Linked DNA regions of Bombyx mori. The protein of the gene in region 1 interacts with the protein of each later gene in a pairwise test. Links are inferred from orthologs where the notes say so. Each region holds a gene or a part of one and is shown on either strand. Other genes may lie near its edges. The genes, in order: DNA repair and recombination protein RAD54-like, Rad51 and tef2.

Evidence for each region.
Region 2: the proteins of DNA repair and recombination protein RAD54-like (region 1) and Rad51 interact in a two-hybrid assay, tested with the Caenorhabditis elegans proteins (3 studies listed by BioGRID). The link is inferred for Bombyx mori from reciprocal best matches to the Caenorhabditis elegans genes rad-54.L and rad-51.
Region 3: the proteins of DNA repair and recombination protein RAD54-like (region 1) and tef2 interact in a two-hybrid assay, tested with the Caenorhabditis elegans proteins (2 studies listed by BioGRID). The link is inferred for Bombyx mori from reciprocal best matches to the Caenorhabditis elegans genes rad-54.L and eef-2.

The regions. Positions count from the first base shown.
Region 1 is NC_085122.1:1,511,554-1,518,959, forward strand, and holds DNA repair and recombination protein RAD54-like, read right to left. Parts: upstream 4,641-7,406; 5' UTR 4,408-4,640; coding exon 2,110-4,407; 3' UTR 2,003-2,109; downstream 1-2,002. Other genes in the region: protein adenylyltransferase SelO, read left to right, coding at 684-817, 1,425-1,547; leucine-rich repeat-containing protein 47, read right to left, coding at 7,373-7,406.
Region 2 is NC_085131.1:10,826,628-10,834,067, forward strand, and holds the start of Rad51 (rad51 homolog), read right to left. Parts: upstream 4,772-7,440; 5' UTR 4,576-4,771; intron 3,923-4,575; 5' UTR 3,647-3,922; coding exon 3,563-3,646; intron 3,024-3,562; coding exon 2,824-3,023; intron 2,453-2,823; coding exon 2,305-2,452; intron 1,600-2,304; coding exon 1,391-1,599; intron 1,219-1,390; coding exon 1,089-1,218; intron 771-1,088; coding exon 525-770; 3' UTR 1-524. Other genes in the region: kelch-like protein 26, read left to right, coding at 5,222-5,329, 5,496-5,645, 6,191-7,200, 7,380-7,440.
Region 3 is NC_085125.1:13,069,011-13,076,165, reverse strand, and holds the start of tef2 (translation elongation factor 2), read left to right. Parts: upstream 1-2,283; 5' UTR 2,284-2,380; coding exon 2,381-2,383; intron 2,384-2,718; coding exon 2,719-2,933; intron 2,934-3,426; exon of another isoform or gene 3,427-3,536; intron 3,537-3,578; coding exon 3,579-3,772; intron 3,773-4,150; coding exon 4,151-4,348; intron 4,349-5,384; coding exon 5,385-5,520; intron 5,521-7,155. UniProt on the Caenorhabditis elegans protein: Catalyzes the GTP-dependent ribosomal translocation step during translation elongation.

The DNA.
Region 1 (7,406 bases):
TGTAATTTCCTTAATTGTTCTTATAGGCAGACGAGCATACGGCCCACCTGATGGTAAATACTTACCGTCGCCCATGGACATCAGTAATGTCAGGGACAGAGCTAAGCTGCTGCCTATCTAGTTTAACTGCTAATATGTATTGGCAGTATTCTATTTATCTTCATATATTAGTATCTCGTCCCTGCTTTCTGCCACTGCCACAGTATAGTTCAAGCCTACACCGGTGGTGCAACCATGTAAACATTCTGCTGCGAAGCATTCATGTCAACCGAATTAAGGGGTCGCATAGTAATTTTAAGCCTCCACCATGTCTCAAGCCGACATTGACTTAGAGATGTCTATGAGCTTGGGTAACCAAACGTGATCCAGTCACCCTAGGCATTCGAACTAATGGAAAAAAACCTATACCTACTGTTTTTGTGAATACTGTATTCAATTTATTTCGTCACGATTTAAGTAACTGAAGTAACTTATAATACGCGCTTATTCACAAACACTACACAAGCGCAACGTGTGAACGTGTTGAACGCGAGCTACATGGTAGGCGGAGTGGGGGTGTTAGGTTTTATTTTCGTTACGGAATTTCTTGATTCCGTCGCCGCGCTCAAAGCCCGCGATAAACGCTATGCAATGGCTTAATATTATTTTATAATAATGAGGGTAAACGTAAAATGGTTGTGCAGTTGACGCGAGCTCAGTTGGAATGTTTGAGGATGAGCGTCGGAGGCGCATGCTGAGCGTCAATCCAATTTACGTTCCTCGCAATTGGATCCTGCACGAAGCTATTGTTGACGCCGAAAAGGATGACTTTGGAAAAGTATAGCCTAACTATCTAAGCACCGAACGCGACGAAGGGTTTGTCGTGCAACTTAACCCACTAAGTTTCACGCCGAATCTTCGCAGTGGGTCGCAATTTCGATCCGGTAGTAGTATCAGTGAAGCACTGTTCTTGCTAGGGCTAGTGTTAAAAAATTCGTCAGGCCGAACTCTGTGAGCTCACCTACACCAAGCGAGCGAAACTAACAATATAACCCCTCGAGGTTACCTATTAGGACAGGTAGGAAAATAATAATTAAATAATAGCAAAATTACTTCCATGGATCGGCCTTTTTTTTTTATTATTGCCTAGATGTGTCGACGAGCTCACAGCCCACCTGGTGTTAAGTGGTTACTGGAACCCATAGACATCTACAACGTAAATGCGCCACACACCTTGAGATATAAGTTCTAAGGTTTCACTATAGTCACAACGGCTGCCCCACCCTTCAAACCGAAACGCATTACTGCTTCACGGCAGAAATAGGCGGGGCTGTGGTACCTACCCGTGCGGACTCACAAAAGGTCCTACCACTTTAATAATAGAGTCGATCTCTCGACGGTTTGCGCTCAAAGGGTTATCTTTCTAAATTATTCACCTATCTCAGGTACAGTTCTTGTTGGAAGTTATAAGACGTCCCTACGACATTAACCCAGAGGCTGAATTACGTGGTTTCTCAGCCCAACCACCTCAATGGGCGTACGCTTTGAAGATCAGCTGCTCAACATAGATTACGTGATGTGTGAAATTTTTGTCAAATAATATCAAATTATCAATTCAGTGTACATTTTATTGATTTTCCCTCCAAAAAAGACTTAAAAAGTTTTATTTCTGCGGATTTACGATTTAACATTACATCCACGATAATAGTATATTTAAATTATCCATAGATGATTGGATGGTAGTCTGGAAGAGATCGCTCTTAGCGATAAGACCGTCTATAGTACTTTATTTTGTATTTAATGTTTCGCAATGTTTCTTTTGTTGGTGTACAATAAAAATACTCTCTCTGTCCCTCCAATTGATCTAGTGCAATGTATGAAATAAACATTAATTTCCTAACAAGTTAACACATATTGAAATAGTTTATTTTTTTTTTTGTGCCACCAAACATATTATACCAAAATGTCTGAGAAAAATGTGTACTGATTCTTTCTTTACGAAGCACAATAATGAAAACATTCAAAATTTCAAATAAATATATTTTCTCCACAATTAACTTACAAATAAAACAGATATTTACAATCAACAAACTAAATGGCTTAATTTTTTCAATGATTACCCACAAAAAATCATGAATAATCTTCATCAGCACTGTCATCTGGTTCAGAGTAATCTTCATCATCCATGATTCTTCTTTTTTTACTTACTTGTATATTTTCTTTATCTTCTATAGTTATCTCCTTAGCCTCTGTTTTTGCGGACCGATGATGGAAAACAAAGGATATACTTTTTGCAACGTCCCAGCATTGCTTCAAGACCATGTCGGCTATGTTTTTCTTGTCTGCACAGTGGTACCAATTGGAAATATCAGATGTGCAATCAGAATTTTCAGGTGGTAGTGTAACTTGAATATTGTTTACACACCTTTTACATTTAAACTTACTATGAGTGTCCGATAGTGTGTTCTCCTCCAAACGGAATAGGTCTTTCAAATCATCTGCTGTGAAATGTCTTAGAGACTCCTCATTTTGGTCAACCACTGTCTCGCTGAGTGCTTTTTTGTGTGCTTGCCTTTGGAATATTTTTTCTTCAATGGTTCCAGTAGCCAAAAGTCTGTAAATATAGCATGGTTTTTTTTGCCCATCGCGCCATACCCGTGCCATCGCCTGCTCATCATTTGCAGGATTCCAATCAGGGTCAAACATGATTAGCCTGTTGGCTCCAATGAGATTCAAGCCACAACCACCAGCTTTGGAACTTAGCATGAAAATCCACTCTTTGGAGTCTTTATTGTTAAAGTTTTCCACCACCTTGGCTCTCTTTTTTATTGTCATTGAACCATCCAATCTTACATATTGATATGTACGTTTTCGACATAATTTCTCAAATAAATCTAATGTCTGAGTATAATTTGATACGAGCACAATTTTATCATCTGTATTCATTTTAAGATTTGCCAGTATGCAGTCTAAGATCATTAACTTGCCTGAATATTCTGGTCTTACATCTTTTATATCATAGTTACTTGGGAGATAGTCTTTTGCTTTTTCGAAACCTTCTGTTCTTTCTATAATCTTTTCATAGATCAAGTCTGGGTGGTTACAGAGCTTCTTCAAAGATGTAATGCTGGACAAAGCACTTAGCGTATTGCTTTTTTCTCCAGTGCCTGTAAACTTGTTACGAATTGCATCAGAATTTATGAAATTCTTGTAAATTTGAGTCTGTAGTGGAGTCATTTTTACACAAATAACTTGCTCAAATTTAACTGGCAAATATTTAGTTAATAGACCACTAGTTCTTCGGATCATGCACTTGTTCACAATTGAAGTTAATGTTTGCAGGCACTCCTGGGCTTTTTCTCTCTCAGGTTGACTTGCCATTGCATCTTGTCCCTTCAAAATAGGATTTTCATATCTCTTTTTGAACTCATGCGCAGTCCCTAATATTCCTTCATTAACAAAATGTACTAAACTAAAATATTCAGTTAAATCATTCTGGATTGGTGTACCTGAGATTAATATTCTCCTTTTAGCCTTCAAACCCATTAATGCTTGGTATGTCTGATTTTCGCTGTTCTTCAACCTATGCCCTTCATCACACAGGACTAAACCTACTTCAGAAGAGTGCAATATATTTGAGTATATCCTGAAAGTTTCATATGATATGATTAAGACTGGTGTGGCAACTCGAGTCGCAGAATATGTGTTCATAAATTGCTGTAGTTTCAAAGTTACTTCAGCTTTTGAACCCCCATCCATAGCTAAAGCATTTATCCTTTGCGACAGCCACTTATGTATTTCATTGTACCAATTTTTTACTAAACTGCTGGGACATACTATTATGGCTTTACATATTGTTGGTTTACAGTCTGGCCCTTGACGCAGTAAGGTCCACAGTAAAGTTATGCACTGCAAGGTTTTACCTAAACCCATTTCATCAGCCATTATACATCCATATGCATTTTCTATTTGTTTCCCAGTAACGCAGTCATACATGAACTTTACTCCTTCTCTCTGGTGCGGCCTCAGTATGTTTCCAAGTACTGGATCAACTACAACAGCAACTTTTATGTCATTAGGATTCATTTTCATTCTTTCGTGTTCCGGAATGGTTGGAGGGCGTTCGAGGACCAGTGAATTGGGTTCGTCTGGGTCGTGGAGGGCCCTTCTAAGTTGCGTTCGTTTTAATCCTAAGCTTTTACTGCAATACGAGGAGACATAGTTTGATATAGGAACTTTAAAGGGCTTACTAAGTATTTGACGGATAATGTTTTCGTGATCTGAAGAAGGTAAAGTTTGAGAAGGAGTTTTCTGTGCTAGCGGTATTCTTGTGCATTCTCGTTTCTTTCGCTTGGCGGAGTCTAGTAATGGACTCTTGAAAACACTCTCTCCAGAGCCTATTTGGCTTGGCGCTCGACTGCGGCGCATCTTATTTTACACGTTACTGCACATATTTGGGAACTTTACTCAATGTTTTCGAACTCAGCAATTTGCGCTATTTAATGTAATCTCCTATTGATGTTTTCACTTTAGTAAGAACGATATTCCTTCATTATTTAACGCAAACAAGATCGGACTTGTTTGCTTTTTGAATTTTTAATAATTTTTATTAACATTGACATTTCCAACTGAAACTGTCAAACTCGTAGCAGATAATAAATTAAATTGACGTTAGTTTCATTTTGGACAACGTGTTTTTCAAGGTACCTGATTAATTACTACTTATAAGTTTAATGTTACTAAAATATATTTGTATACACGAGCCTATTCCTGAAAATCCTGTTATGCCTTTTCTTTTTTTTTCGGGCCGGTGCGGTGGCCGGACCTTCTATGAGGTCCCCGTGGCTAGGGGGCGCGCGGGGTATGTGGGACTTGACGATCTGCAGATGTTGGAAGCAGACTGCGGGCCCAAGGAGTTTTAGTTCTCACCTTCATCCAAAAGTTGCAGCGTGACAGCAACTTCAAATATAGATGCATCGATGGAAGCGATCTTGTCCTTAACATTGACATATTTATAATGGAGCTGCGACCATGACCGCTTTGCGAAGGATTATTATATGAGCACCATTAAGAAGAAACTTAAACTACACATATAGAAAACAAAATGTTGTAGGTTTCGTAGAGGTCCATCGCCAATTTTTAACAAGACGCTACACGATGGTAGAAGCCACTAATATCAATTAGTTTGAATATTACCCTTTCTAAGGGTCAATTCCCACTGAAAGAGCAGCGGCGCGCAGCGGCCGTAAGAGCAAGTGACTGAGCGCGGCGCCGCAAGGGGCAGTGTGGCGCCGCGCGGGGCAGTGCGGCGCCGCGAGAGGCAGCGCGGCATCCCGAGGCGCCGCAATGAGCCTCTGCGTGGTAGCTTTGAAAACTAGTGTGCGATCTACTTCACTCAAGGAAAGTTGTGTGGCAATAAATATGGTGGATTTGGATTTATGTATCATAGCACTGGCTGTAGAAGAAGAACAAGATACCCTCTAATAAAATAACGCGAAATGCGCAAGCGGCAGGGCGAGCGGGTATGAAATGGTCGCTCGCGCGCAGCCGCGAGTCTGTCAGCTGCACCTCGGTCGGCCGCACGTCAGCTAGCTGCGCCGCGATCAGCCGCGCGGCGCCTCTTTTGACTAGTCGGTAGAAAGCTCGTGCAGCCTCGCGACGCCACGCTACCCCTCCTTTGCCTTCAAATGAACTTTTAATCACGTAGATAAGATTCAAAATAGTTTGTAATATTTTGCCTCAAAAAGACGCTGCCGGCCGCTGCTCTTTCAGTGGGAATTGACCCTTAACTTTAATATTAATTGTATTGTCTATCTATGTACCTTTTCTGTATATAAATTATACAACACTTTTCGATTTCTTAATTATTTATTATTAGTTGCATTGCAATAAAAGTAAACATTTTATGAGAAAATACTTTATTAAAAAAAACACTTGAGTCATACCTGTAATTATATGCATCACAGACAATTCTTAAAGTTTAGGATCAAAATTGTTTTCAACAGTAATATATAAATTAAGCACATATATGGCTGGTAACATTTTCAGTAAGTCACAGGACATTTTCAATGTAGGCACTATTTTTCAAACAACTCGGCAATTGAATTTAGGCTAATTAAAAAATATATATTTATAGTAAGTATAGCATTATTTGCACTAAGTAGATACAGGTAACCTCTCTAACCCTCCAGTAAATACGTTCCTACAAATTCCTGTGTTATGTGAAACCGTGTTATATGTATGTAATTTTTTTACCTATCATACATAAAAAAATTGGCAGTAAAATTTTATTCCGATATATTGTGTGCTCATAGTGGACAATGTAATTTTTTAAATAATTTTAAACATAGATTTTGTAATCGTTTTTTAGAAGTACCGTGTTACAGAAGGGGTTACCTGTACAGTAGAATGTAAGAAATCCTTCAAAGGCCTAAATCGCGCCAACGATTTCATAGATAATCTTGCAATACAAACGTCCCGGTCAAGATTCTGAGTTTGCACTATTACGGCAAAGCCTGCCAATGAGCGGTTGATGATTCTCGGAAGAACTGTGCAGCCTCATAAATATGATGAAAATTTATAAAGAATGTCAAATTCGTATAATTCTCGACATTACAAGCCCATAGACAAAATTTCAATTATTGACATTATAATCGATACCAACGCATTCAGATATTTCCACAAACACTTTTAGGACATATTTTTTAAAGTTACTCATTAATAAATAATAGTTTAAAGACAAATCTCCAAGGAAATGACAAAAAACTACACGACAAATGTATTGTTCATCTAAAAGAGACTGTTATAAGTTCAAAACAAGTACTTTTGCCTGTGACTATACTGCTACCTACACACGCAATGACGAAATAATGACAGAGGATTTGATGGATCTTTGCTATCAAGATGGAAGATCTGTAGGTACAAAAAAAGAGATAGCAAATAACTTTCTTCTGAATATTTTTTTTTCACTTTTAATCAGATGTTTTAATAAACTTATAAAAGTAATCCTCTTTGTAGAATATTATAGTAAGTTTCCGATATAAATTTACCATAAATTTAGAATGATTGTGAACAAATGTGACATTATCATGAATCGATTTAGAAGATGTCTAGTTTTATGGTAGCACAAACGGATTACTTATAGTTTGTGAGAAAAAGAAAAAGTCGTTTTTAACGAATCAAAAACAAAGTAAAAAAACATTATACATCATGCAGCATGAAAGACTCACTGAGAACACTGTATCAAAAGATTTTAAATCTTCTAAAGAAAAGTACAAAAAGTTCAAACAAAAAAAAAAGTAAAAAATTAACATCATGGCAACACTGCTCGTCCTGTAGGTGTTGCCGGCGCTAACGATGCGGAATCCCAGTCGTCTGGTCACATATTTCCAGATTATTTTTTAGGCATCCTGATGACTTTGATGTTC
Region 2 (7,440 bases), on another chromosome or scaffold:
CAAAGTTTCATCACAATCGCATGAATGGTTTAGGAATTCATAGAGAACAAACATTACATTTTATTTATATTAATAGTTATAAACTTAAAATTTATAAATTGGATTTATTTTATTGGACCTTTATAATTTTTTGGAAAATTATAAATGTCCAATAAGTCGCGATGAATAAGTCCGTAAGTTATTATTGTATTAACAAAATAAAACAATTCACACATCACTACGCTACCAACATGTTCTAAGCTCATTCACACAAATTGATGTTGCCATTTAAATGAGCTAAAATAATCTACCAAATTATATAAATTAATTAAGAGTGTATGTTCCAATATACTTATTTTTCCATCATATTTTTTTTTTGGATTTAGAGCCATTTTCTTCATTTTGAGTGGTTATATATATTATGTACATTCATTGTTTCTTTTCCAGTTTTTATTTTATTTTTTTCTTTGTTAACATACACTACTACGTTGTTTAAAATGATATTTAAGGTTGATGGCAGTGATGATATCACCTTAATTAAATTATTATTCCTTAGCATCCGTGATGCCTTCAGCGCTAATCGCAAACATAGCTTCTGTTTCGGGCAAGCACGGACTATCGTATATTTTACACACGCGATTATCACCTCTACCCTTCCGTAAATAGAGTCTAGTTGTGGACGCGTGCGCTATGATATGACCTCCGATTGGTTTCTTGGTATCAGCATTGAAAACTCCTACAGCATCCACTTGTGCGACCACTTGGTTTGTTATGATTACTGCTACTCCAAACTGGAATGACAGATTTGAAACTTTATTGGTAACTCATCAAAATACATGTACATGAAATATATACACACTGCCTCTCAAAATATAACACAATCTAACTTTTACGTTTATCACATAATAGGATTAAAATTCACTTGAAAATAAATACCATCCGTGATTTGAATTCGAAATCATTATTCAACTGTTTCAATAGATAGAAATATTTATAAAGAAAATCCAAATTGTTCACAATACGATTTTAATTATGTAAGCACTTTACTAAATTACAGTTGTATTTTCTGAAATAATTAATATAGGAAACTACGTGGAATATTTACTTACCTCATCAGCCAATCTGAGCAACATTCTCATGAAACGACCCAGATGTAGTTGTCTAGAATTCAGTTCCCCTCGTCCAGAATAGTCTGTCCTGTATAGAGCGGTTGCACTATCAACTATAATTAAGGAATATCTGAAAATTGTATGCACGTAAGATAAATTTTTAATGCGTAATAAATAAATTAATTGAAAATCAAATTATTTAATATATATATAGTATAAAAATAATTCACAAGTAAAAACAATAAAAAATTTATAACAAATTCAGAAAAACAATTAAATAGATCTATTATAAAATAATTTACCTTGACTCTGCCATCATGGCGCAAGCTTGCACTAGCAATTGGGTCTGATGGTCTGTGTTATAAGCTCTTGCATATGCAACATTGTCCAAGACTGCCGCACCTTCCATACCGTATCGCTGTGCAACGGCCAGCAGTCTTTCCGGTCTGAATGTTCCTTCTGTATCGATGTACATGCATTTACCCTCTCCACCAGATTGTTCAATGGGTAGCTGGGAAAATTTAATAAGGCCAAGGCAATTGGTTTTCAGTAATTTAAAATTACCAATATGGGATTTCTATTTAAAAAAATAATGAAATTATTAGATATTTTACATTTTACAATATTACATAGAAGCGACATTGTTCATTGAACAATTTTTTCTCAATTTTTTTTGGCTGCCACTGAGAAATTACACCTGCTGGGTGGAAGATCTTCCCTTTGTTGTTAACCTCTAAACATTTTTTACATCAAAATATGACCTTACAGTTCTAATATTTTAAATGAACATTTATGACTATTATTTTTTTTTTTATTTTTATTATTAGTATTATTTTTTTTTATTTACTAACAATCACACCACGTTAACTAGTCCCGTGATAAGTTCGTAAAGAACTTGTGTTAGAGGTACCCCCTTGTGTAGTGACCATGTCACTTACCACTACACCAGACGGCCGTTACGTTACCTATATTATACATTCATCATCAACATCATTCTCCTGCCCTACTCCCAGTAACCTGGGATTGGCGCAATATGTTTTCTCCTACCATACCTCTATCATAAACCATTTCTTCGCTCACTTCCGCTCTTATATGAAGTCACTTACACATATCGTCTTTTATGCAATATTACACATTATCACATATCATTATAGTATACATTATTAATATTTATTATTATATACTTTTATTGCAAATTGGTTTAATTCAATTGTACCTGGCAGGTGACTGCTAATGTGTGACATAATTGGGTTTTGCCAGTACGGAATTCACCAAATATTTCAGTTATAGAACCAGTTTCTATACCACCTCCCAGTAATCTATCTAATTCCTTTGAACCAGTAGTAAGTTGTATTATTTCAGCCCTGGAAGAATTCAAACAATACTCAATGTAGATTTGGTTTAATTAAAAAAATCTAATACAAGTATTAGCTGCAGTTATTTTCTGTGTCAAGAATATGACTATACATTACTAGTTCGATACTGGGATTTGAGCTGTGTCCCTTATGTCAGGTCCAATAATTGTGTCATTATAGCCTAAGGTAGATACATAGACATAACAATTTATGTAACAAAGACGGGGTACAAATCCTGCAGGAAGGTACTAATTTTTTTGCTTTTTTACATACTTTGCATGTGTTAAATGTTTTCCACAACTTTGTACTAACCTTAGCCATATTGGCGTTTCATTAATTAATAATAAAAAATATAAATAAATAATTTTAAAGGTACCTACCTCTTTTGATGAAACTCAGTAGCTGTTGTAAATCCCATTGGCACCAATTTAGATGCTTCAGCTAATATTTTATCTGCCTTCGCTTCAGATATCCCTTTAATTGTGATTAGCCATTTTTTTGGAGCATAGGCAACAGATTCAACAGTATGATATCCCGCTTCCTCAAGCTTTTTTATATCTCCTGATGTGATGCCATTGCCCTAAAATAAATTATTCCATATTTTTATTATTTAACAAACAAATTATCACAATCCAAATTTAGATATATATATGATGTACACAATGTTGCAATGAAGTAAGGTTGAACGATTAAGTAGCATCAAATGCAATACAACTGAGAATTTGACTTAATATGAGCATAGACTCATGTTGTTCTTACAGAACGTTTTTGTGTCTTCTGGAGATCTATTTGAAAATTCTTAGAGCAGATAAACTTGACCCTCTTTTACCCTTGTTTTTTCTTTTCTTGAGAGATCTTTTATTTGGAATGTAGATATCTTACTCTCCAAGGCAGGATATGTAGATTTACTTAAGCATAAATAGATAGGATTCTTAGGAGCACTTTATTATCATCCAATATGTTTATTTATTTATTTCATATACACATTAAAAAGAAATATAGTTAAGAGAATGGAATAAATTAGAATTTATCTACAGTATAAGTTGCGCATTGTATCCAATAAGTCAGTTCAATCCAGTAATATTTGTAAGCAAGTTATAGCTTGTCACATGACGTCACCTCTAATTTACTGATCAGCTGTGGCCCGCATTCGTCAGCATCTTCATCCAAAGAAGTCGTAGTTGCTGAAGCAGTGGTATTCATTATTGTCCGTGGCTTTCAAACAATTACCGGCTCATTTAAAAATATTCAAACTTCAGTTGCTTATAAATAACTTTACAAGGTTAGGTGTCTTTGGAGTACACGATTTGGATTATAAAATAATTTTAACTAATTTTTTTTTTATTGTTTGTTAGAGCAAACTTGTAAGTAACATACGCGTTAAAATTTCAATCACTATTTTTATTTTTAAAGTCGACACTGAAGTCTGAAGACATCCGCTTATTTTTTTAAGAGATTTTATGACCTGGTAACTAAAACCTTTAAGTCATGTCTTAATTTAGTTTATATTCTTATTTTTATGAAAAATGATAATATGAGGCCTATAAAATCAAAGGCAGCTAAATCCAAGTCTGTCAAATATTCAGGTAAACTGCAAAAATCAGCCCTAAACACGTCATTACGGATCCTCCCGATCCATCGAAGTACTGCTCTTGGTAAGGCCAGTGTTAGCAACACTCCCGGTTTGAGAAGCTGAAATAGCTTTGTTCGGATAGCTACGATATTCTTTAATTTAAAGCACATTTTAAGCACATAAAGACTGAGAATATTACTAATAATCTGAATTTTAAATGATAAAACTTCGTTTATTAGTTCTTAGTACAGAGTAAAAATAAATTTTTTGATCTGAATTTGTTAGAGATTTAGCTGCATTTGTTATAACATGAAAACACTAAAGCGTGTCCAACTAACTAAACAAGATAGCGCCATTGTTAATCCATTTTGCGACATTGAGGCGTTTAGCTGCCTTTGATTTTATAGGCCTCATATGGAGTGAAATAAAATGAAATGAAGATGATTAATTTGTGACATTAATCAATTGAGATGAAATTAAATGAGATGAAATGGGATGAAATATATGATGGGATGAATATGGGATGAAATATAATCTCAGAAAAATGGTGGTCATTTACTGAGATTTTTTCAGTGGACTTTTTGGAGGACCCGGAGAAGTTACGTCCAGCGGCTTTGTTTCACTTTCCCACATTTGTGCACTTTTACAGATATGAAACAGTTAATAAACCACTGCTATTACACATTTAAACCTGAAGAAACACTAAATAGACAAAATGAAACAAATCACCCAACTTTACTCCTCGCGTTCCCGCCAAAAAGTCACATCCGCTTAAATGTCAAGATCAATCATAGATGTACACATGCTGGCCGTTTTCCAATTACAGCACAAGAGCGCATTATGCGGCATAATGCTCAACTAAGCTTCAGCATAATTCGGCATTGTGCGTCACTGAGTCACATTATGCTCTGTAATTAACCTTTACTTAATGGTAGTTTTCTAATTAATGTTTAATAATGGTGGTTTATTAACTATTTAGTATCGGTGAAAGTGCACAAATGTGGGAAAAGGAAACAAATCTACTGGACGTAACTTCTCGGTATCTTCCAAAAAGTGAAACGGAACTACCTAAATAACCGCCATTTTGTTGAGACTATATTTCATCCCATATTATCTTGTTTCATTTAATTTCATTCTAATTTATTAATGTCTTAAATTAATCAACTTCATCTCCTTTTCATACCTTCGCCTTTCCAGTTTGAAAAATGGAACCTATTACTCAAAATCAGCTGTTAGGTGCAACCACTGGTCTATGGGTGCAACTGACAAGTGACAATTGCTCCCTGCGTTGTCGTAAACATAGAAACACGAATGTAGGTAAACTAGGTACTTATTAACTCCATGAGGTAAACATAAACATACAGAATACCGTACCCCACTGCCAACGAATTTATTTAAATTTTTGCGGGTTAGCTTTTTGATAAAATTGATTTAACTCTATTGAACATTTATAACATATGATTATTGGATTTTAATAAGGAGATGGAGGACACTCAAGAAGTAACACTTTTAATAGAAAATCAGAGATTCACGGCGAACAAAAATGTTTTGTGCGAGTACAGCGACTATTTTCGCGCAATGTTCAGTGGAAACTATATTGAAAACGAACGACAGGAAATAAAAATTGATGTAAGGAAAATTATAAATTATGTTAGCTAAATTAAATTAATGTATAAAATGACAAACAATTAAAACAATAATTATGGATTTAACTCTATGAATAATCGCAAAATGTTTAATTTTTAATCATAATTATCTAGTAGTAGTGGGTAGTAAATTGATAATTTTGCGATTCCTTGATGTTAATGGTACCTCAATCATACCTCATTGTGGAACGTTTGGTGAGGGTAGGCTGTTGACAGCTAACTATTCTATTTATAATATTCTATGTATAGAACGTACCGTAGACGTAGTGTGGCTACCCACACTAGCTCCCTCGCCTCCCACACGTTGGACAGACCACCTATTGAGGTATGCGGGATCTGCTGGACGCAAGCAGTGCAGGCCGATCATTGTGGTTTGGGAGAGGCCTATGTCCATTTGAGGACATCTGTGGGAATAAATATCTACCTACAATATGATAGTGTAACTTAAAAATAAAAAAGGACTGTAAACAAGAAGAACTGTAAATTACTGAATATTAAAAAAATTACTCTTTCTATATCCACTTCCAGATGGTTGATGCATACTCAATGAACATGATACTTCAATACATGAGAATAGGTTTGATAGATCTCTCTGAATACTCACTGACAACTATTGGAGAATTGTCAATCGCAGCGAACTTTCTTCAAATAACAGAATTAATTAAGCAGATTGAATACTGTTTAGATCTCCATCTTTCTGTCTCAAACTGGATGGAGACAATGATTATAGCAGAAAACTCTTCTTATACTAAATTAGAGCAACTGAGTGCTGCATTTGGATTACTTAATTTTAAACAAATGAAAAAAGAGTACATTTTAAATATTCATAGACTATTTTGGTATTTATCACATCCATATTTAGATACTGATAATGAATTAGAGGTTTTTAGATTTGGTTACGAATGGATTATAAATTCAGAAACAGGGGCCGATGCTATATTGATAGTTTTAGGATGTTTAGATATACAAAGACTGAGTCATAATGATATCAAAGAAATAAAAATCCTTATAAAGGATTTTGTTGATAGTTTGCCTCTTAAAGTAGTTGATTGTATTTTAGAGATTACTGAACACAGTGAATTGTCTATAATAACTTTGACTGAAAGGAAAGATGAACTATGCGAAAAGTTCACTGCCAGGGTATATATTGAAGTTTTTAAGTTAGTAAGTGCAAGTGTTAATCGTAAGCTGATATTCACACCCACAGTACCAGTCTGGATAGTCAAAGATACAAAACCTGAATTGATATCGCATAATATGTATACATTTAGTGAAGATACAGGCCTTGAAAAATGGTTGGAAGTTGCAGAGAAAAACTTATGGGGTTGGAATGTGGTAGCATGGGGTGCCAACAAACTTGTTCTGGTTTGTGGAGAACATGGTAGAGGTACGAGTGTATTCATGAAAGATGTTAAAGTATATGACACTTTCCGTAAGGAGTGGATCTTGCACGGTGTTGAATTACCATCGAGAAGACATGGTGGAGTTGCTATTATGGGAGACTCATTGTTCATTATTGGAGGTGTAGGTGGTTTTAGGTTGGTTTCTTTTATTTATTTTAACTCTGTATTCTCTGAGCATCAAGACAATTCGCAGTTATGTGCCTATTTTGTTGTGAAATAATAGTTACTAAAGGTAATATTTTATAAATTGTTTTGTTCCTTGAAATTTTGATAAAATCACTTTACAATAATAAATTTTGCTTTTCTCATTTTAGAGTTGTACTTGATACGGCTGTCATATATGATTTAAAACAAAGAACACACAGGAAGATTGCC
Region 3 (7,155 bases), on another chromosome or scaffold:
TTTTGGTCATTTATTTGAATCACACTTAGCAAGAGATTTTATATATATTTACTAGCTGACCCGGCAGACTTCGTAGTGCTTCAATCGATAAATAAAAGATCTACACTTTAGTATAAAATAAACTTAAAACAAACAAAAGGAATTTTGATATTTATCTACCTTTTAAACCTTCTCTGGACTTTTACAAATCATTCAAGACCAAAATTAGCCAAATTGATCTAGCCGTTCTCGAGTTTTAGCGAGACTAACGAACAGCAATTCATTTTTATATATATAGATTTATATGTAATAAAAGAAAGGTACTAATGTTTATGTTTAGAACTTATCTATTCGTGTATTAACACGAAACAATGGAGTGCTCACTAAAGCGAGTAGCGAATATCCACTCATTAGATTACCTAAAACGGGACTAATTTTATTGCAACAGGAAAAACATACAATTTGTACAAGCCCTATTCTTACATTTGCCACCCTTATCGATAGCAATCAAAATACTCCCCAACCCAACCCTCTAAATTTGCCCTCATTCTGAATTCCAGTGAAGACCAGACAGTAAAATTCAAATTAATAATAACGAAACACAATTAAATGCTTATGTTCATTGTAGTTTTTCATTAATTGTTAGCTATTTTTTTAATTATATTTGCAATAAAAAATTACATCGAAAAGTATAAAAATCATCTAGCATCTCAAATATTAAGTATGATCTAGTTACATGATTAAACTGAGTGTTTTTATTAAAATGTGATAATTTTGGAGTGTAGCGACATCTATCAACAACGAGTCAATGTTAGACATTCTACTAGACAATAGGTGGCGCTCATTTAGGCTTAATAAAAAAAATGGGTTAAATAAATTGTGAAGATGTAATCTATCTGAAAATTACACCAATAAGCCAATCAAGTCAAATTATTTTACATGATAATAGCATAGACCTTTGTAGACTGTCCCGGCTGATGGGGAGGTGTTTAAATTACTAAAAAGCAGTCAAACCCGACAGGCAAAGGGACATCCTTACAACCAAATCTTTTGTAATAAAAGTAGGGCGTGTGCTATGAAAAGTTTAATCGAAAATGAAATAAATAAGAAATAAACAAGAAAAATGAATATTTTTTTAAAAAATTGTGAAAATTTACTGAGAGTTTATTGAACTTTTTAGTCGAGTCATGGAAACCATATTCAACAATTTCGGTGCATTTTCGTAAATTATCTACTTTACCACATACAAAATAAATAATTAGTCATGATTCTTACACGTTTAAGACTGAAAAACAGTAGCAAAAATATGAACTTAATAAATAATGGGAACGCCAGAAAAAAAGTTGTACGAATTGTTATATTTTGTCAATTTTTTTTTACTAATTTTCTTTTTGCACAAGACTACAGAGGTGGACTAAAAGCTTAAGATCTTTTCTACCAGTCAACCAAAGTTGGTAAAGTATTTTGAAAGATGCATTGCTTTTACTGAAAAAACCTAATTCATAAAATATAGAACGCATAAATATACACAGCTCATACAGCACTATATATATACATCCATACATTCCACATATATTCAATATTTATTATATATTTATGACAAAAAAATTATACAAAGTAAGTCTACTTATTAGATATTCCTGCCAATTCATTTAGCAAAAGTTGCCGAACCCTTCATTGAGAGTTATATACGTGATCAGTGATCATCTTGACATTGAGAGGAAGTAAAATTCAAATTAGAGATGTACGTGGGACAGTCAAGTAATAGATTATTAGAAGAACGCAGAATATATTATGCGAAAAATGTAAATTTTTAAAGTACCGTACCTACCGTGCATGTTGTCAATATCGCTGACGTAAAGCGAGAAAATTTATTTTTAAGCGCTATGTAGAGATGTGGTCATCCTTGCGGAGATTTAAAATAAATCAAAAGCAGTTATTATGAAGGCGGTCGGGTTGTTAAAAAAGGTCTTTCATGTCAAAATAAGAAAGATCAAAACTTGATGACGATGACGATAATCTAATAACCATTTTACTGATATTTTATTTCACCTCATTTCCATCTAGTTTGATTGAATATAGTTTCAATACAATCAGCTTGAATTCAGAAGATCAATTTAGGCCACAAAACACCAAACAAATTGTTATTCAGCCAAATCTGTTACGCGTCATAGTATTCAAAAAGATTACTAACAGACAATCTTGAAAATCGACTAATGCTCAATAACTCGTGTTGACATCTCGGAGTAAGCGTCTGGCAGCATTATATGTTGTCTATGACTCTTTTTATTTGACGTCGACCTGCGACATCCGGCCCTCGCAAGGGTCCTTTTTCAAAGCGTACGCCATTGCTGGCGTATGGTAGTTGGTTTAATAGAACAAAAATCATAAACCATCTAAAATGGTGAGTAAGGAAATCAGTTTTAGTGACCAGTAAAGTATCCCGGTGAATGTTTTCATACGTTTCACGTGCATATTTTATTAATTTGACGGAATAGTTACTGTAAAAGTTCTGCTTTGTTCGGGTCAGGTCTTTGTGAATTGGATGACGTTTTCAAGTGATGTGGTGCTTAAAGTGTTCGTACCGAGACTTCAACAATCACTCATCTCAAATATAATTAAACATTAAACAACATAATAAAACTAAACCTTTACAATATCGTGAATCTAAGTGTTAAATGTCTAAAATCTAACATCTGTGTTGTGTCAGCATGATGAGCTATTATTTCGTATGTGCAGGTGAATTTCACGGTAGACGAGATCCGTGGGATGATGGACAAGAAGCGGAATATCCGCAACATGTCTGTGATCGCCCACGTCGATCACGGCAAGTCAACCCTCACGGACTCGTTGGTTTCCAAGGCCGGTATCATTGCTGGTGCGAGAGCCGGAGAGACCCGTTTCACTGACACGCGTAAGGACGAACAAGACCGTTGCATCACCATTAAATCTACGTAAGTAGCTTCAAAAATACATATTGCCACATGGTGCACCGAACGTCATTGCCCTTGAACTTTTATGAGGTTAAGTTAACGAAAAATCTCGTTATATACAAATTATTATTGCTTTAATGCAAAAGACCACATGAGTGTACCAGCTGCGTCGTTTTAAATAAATATAACGTGCCTTTATAGTAGCTGATGTGTCGAAAAAGATTTCTCAGAAATGGTTTTTATTATTTACGAAATTTGCAAAGGAATCCGAAAAGGTTAGACCACACTGTTAGGTTAAGTTTTAGTTATCATGAAATACACCACGATAGAATCAGGTCAGTCATTTTCTTACTTTGGGATTGCAAAAGTGATTAAATTTCATAAAATTTTAATAATGTGTAGTAATTAAGTAACATTTTACCAACTAATCATGTTTAAGGAAAAGACAAATAATAATACATTAGTAATGTTTTGTTCAACACTTGGATTTAATTTAATAGCAAGTTTACTAAAAATTCTCTGATCTAAATGATGAATGTTCTTTACCATTAAAAGACTGATATGAATATTGAAGATCTTTTAGAACGGCCATCTGATGAATCATAAAAACTAAATTTGGGAATATTAAAAAGTACCATGAGTTTAATATCACGAATTTATTACCAGGGCCATCTCTATGTTCTTCGAGCTTGAAGAGAAAGATTTAGTATTCATCACAAACCCTGACCAGCGTGAAAAGAGTGAGAAAGGTTTCTTGATCAACTTGATTGACTCACCTGGACACGTTGATTTCTCTTCTGAAGTAACAGCTGCACTCCGTGTCACTGATGGAGCCCTTGTGGTTGTTGACTGTGTGTCTGGTAAGTTGAATATTAATTTTTAATAAAAATATCTTATTTAATTCTTTCTCATTGATTTGTTAATGACCAGTAATAGAGGAGCCCTTTATGCTATTTCCATTAAGATTTGAATATGACTAAATATGAAATTACTTAAAGCTACCTTTCAAGGTAGGGTGAAATGCTTGAAAAATCTGATATAATATATATAGTTGGCAGAAACTCAGGAGCTCAGTTTACAATTAACAAAAATTATTCTACTCAAAAAGGGCATTGCACTCGTAAGCTGTAAAGCTCAAAAAGTTGCATCAAAATTTGTCTAGTCAGTTTTGCCGAGACTAACAAAAAAACTTAGCAATGTAAAAATATTATAATGAAATTTAATTTTGTGTTAACCAGGTGTGTGTGTACAAACTGAAACAGTACTGCGTCAGGCTATTGCCGAGCGCATCAAGCCTATTCTGTTCATGAACAAAATGGACCGTGCTCTTCTTGAGCTCCAACTTGAAGCTGAAGAACTATACCAGACGTTCCAGCGTATTGTAGAAAATGTTAACGTCATTATAGCCACATATAACGATGATGGTGGTCCCATGGGTGAGTATTTAAAATAATAACTTCCTATAAAATTATCTGCAATAATCACAAGATTCTGTACAGTTTCCTTGAGTTTGTTCTGGCATTTTTGGGAGTTTCTATAAATTTCAAATAACAAACGGTTGATGGTCACAGCTTTTGTTGGACAACATTGAATCTTTTGATATCATGTTTTGGACACGTGACAAGACGCGCGATAGACGCTAGCGTGTAGCCATCAAGGTCATACACGGACGCACCTGTTATCTCTACGATTTATATTTTGTAGCCATTAAACTTACATTTCACTTTTTCATTTTATTAGAATTATAGAAACAATGCATTTGTGCACAGAAGTAGGTTGTAAAAATTATATTTTATTTGTAATCCAAAATTATAAATTAATAAGTTGAAGTTTATAAATAATAACTAGAATTAAACTCAATAAAAAATATACTGACAGATGTGAATCCATAATAAATGGCATTCAAAGAAAGTTATGGACTTTAAAGGCAGTGTCTTATCAGGCTATTATATTGATGTTCCAAATGGTGGGTAATTTCAAAGCAAATACATACTTATAGCATGCACTATCAGATTCCACAATAAGAGGGATCATAAAGTAATAAAAATAAACCTGTGAAGTAATAAATTTTGCATAAATATGGATGATAGGATGTGTATTGTAAGCTTACATATGTGCATATTTAATGAATCGTCTTTGGGTTTGTAAACTTTTCCACCAGGGACTCCATTATATTAATGCTGTTGAAAATTTGACTTCATGTCTTGAAAGTTTTTCAATGACACACAAACGCATTCACAATTTGATGTCTTTGCCTGGTGGATTTAACACCAGATGGGTCCTATCAATGCATTAAAAAATATTTAAAAAGTTTTCTTCAACAATATTCTTGTTGCGTTTTAAAGACAGATCCCACCTAATTGTATCTCAAGTATACTCAAATTTGCAAACCAGGATAGCCAAGCCAAAATTCACAAAAGCTCTGCATCAAGAATGGGAATATAAAATTAAAATACATTTTGTCTAAATCAGGTGAGGTGCGTGTCGACCCTAGCAAGGGCTCTGTTGGTTTCGGGTCTGGTCTTCATGGGTGGGCTTTCACCCTCAAACAATTCTCTGAGATGTATGCTGACAAATTCAAGATTGACCTTGTCAAGCTTATGAACAGGTGAGGTTTTACTTAAGTAAAAATATCATTGTACTGACAATCATAAACTGGGTGTATGTAATACAACAAATGCCCGCTGAGTTTCTTGCCAATTCTTCTCAGGACAGAGGCTAGTTTTTGTGAATTGGCGGTAGTTCTTTTGACTTTCATCAAGTATGTACAGTCAAAATCTGTTATAACGACATCGAAGGTACTGCTCATATTCAGTCGTAAAAACCGATAGTCGTAACAACCGGTGATGTTTAATGTGTATCGTGCAAGTACAAACAAATCGATAGGGAATTATTGGAAAAATATATTTACATAATACGCGGTTTTTCTTCAATATTAATTTGTTTTCTTTTTCTTAGAGACATTTTGATAGTTTCAGGAATAACTCCACAAAGTTTTGTTGTGTCTTGTGTATAGATAAGTAACAAACTAACTGAAAAGATATGAAGAAGCGGGCTTTGATACCGCATGCACGTGTTTTGTTTCTAAGAATTAGAAAAGACCCTACACTAAACTAAATCCTATTGTTTTCTTTCTTGATTTTAAAAGCCATTGAAGACAAATGTGGATACTTATTCAAATTGTTTACAATACAGCTTAGCCGGTCGTTCTAACAGATCTAATTCTCCGAAATATTAGTTAAATGTGGTCGTTTTATGAGGTATGTCGTTATTACCAATGTCGTAGAAAGCAATATTTTTAATAAGGCGGTCATATGGCATTCAGCCGGGACCTTTGTTCTTGGTTATTATAACCGGTATGTTGTATTAAACGATGTCGCAGTAAACGGTTTTGACTGTACTTTCATTTATGTTGAATAATTTTTTTTTTATTTGATTTGATTTCATAATGATTCTGGAAGTCGAGATGGTAATTTGGATTTTTTTCTATTAATTGAATGCTAAGGGTCCTTAATCTGTTGTCACATAAATTAAATAACTGGAAATTGAAAAAATGGAGAAACTGTAATTGCTCTATAAAACTTGCAAGAAAGCAGCTAACACTGACGTAGTTGAAGGCGGATGACGTCATCATCCAAGCACAACTACTGCATTGCAATATTTATGTAATTTGGAAATGTTCAAATTCAAATTCAAATTCCACTTTTCAACTATTTCAAGTAAAGTTCACAAACTTCTGCACGCTGTTTTTTAAGTTATATTATTATGTAACAACAAAACATACAATTTAAATGTTTTGACAGAGACCTATCATTTTTTTAAAACAAATCATATGCTTTTAATCCAATTTATTACTAAAACAAACCGTAAATTCGAATCACAACGTCCACATATCTTTGCAATAAAAAAAAATGAAATAAAGAGCTGTAAATCTTTAAAATAACAATAAACGATCTTACAAGTATCAGCACCTGCTGCTTAGAACAGCAATATTTTCCAGACAATCTTCTGCAAAGAAGAACTTTCAAACCTAAAGGGCAGTTGAGTCCGCACGGGTAGGTACCACCGCCCCGCCTATTTCTGCCGTGAAGCAGTAATGCGTTTCGGTTTGAAGGGTGGGGCAGCCGTTGTGACTATACTGAGACCTTAGAACTATATCTCAAGGTGTGTGGCGCATTTACGTTGTAGATGTCTATGGGCTCCAGTAACCACTTAACACCAGGTGGGCTGTGAGCTCGTCCAC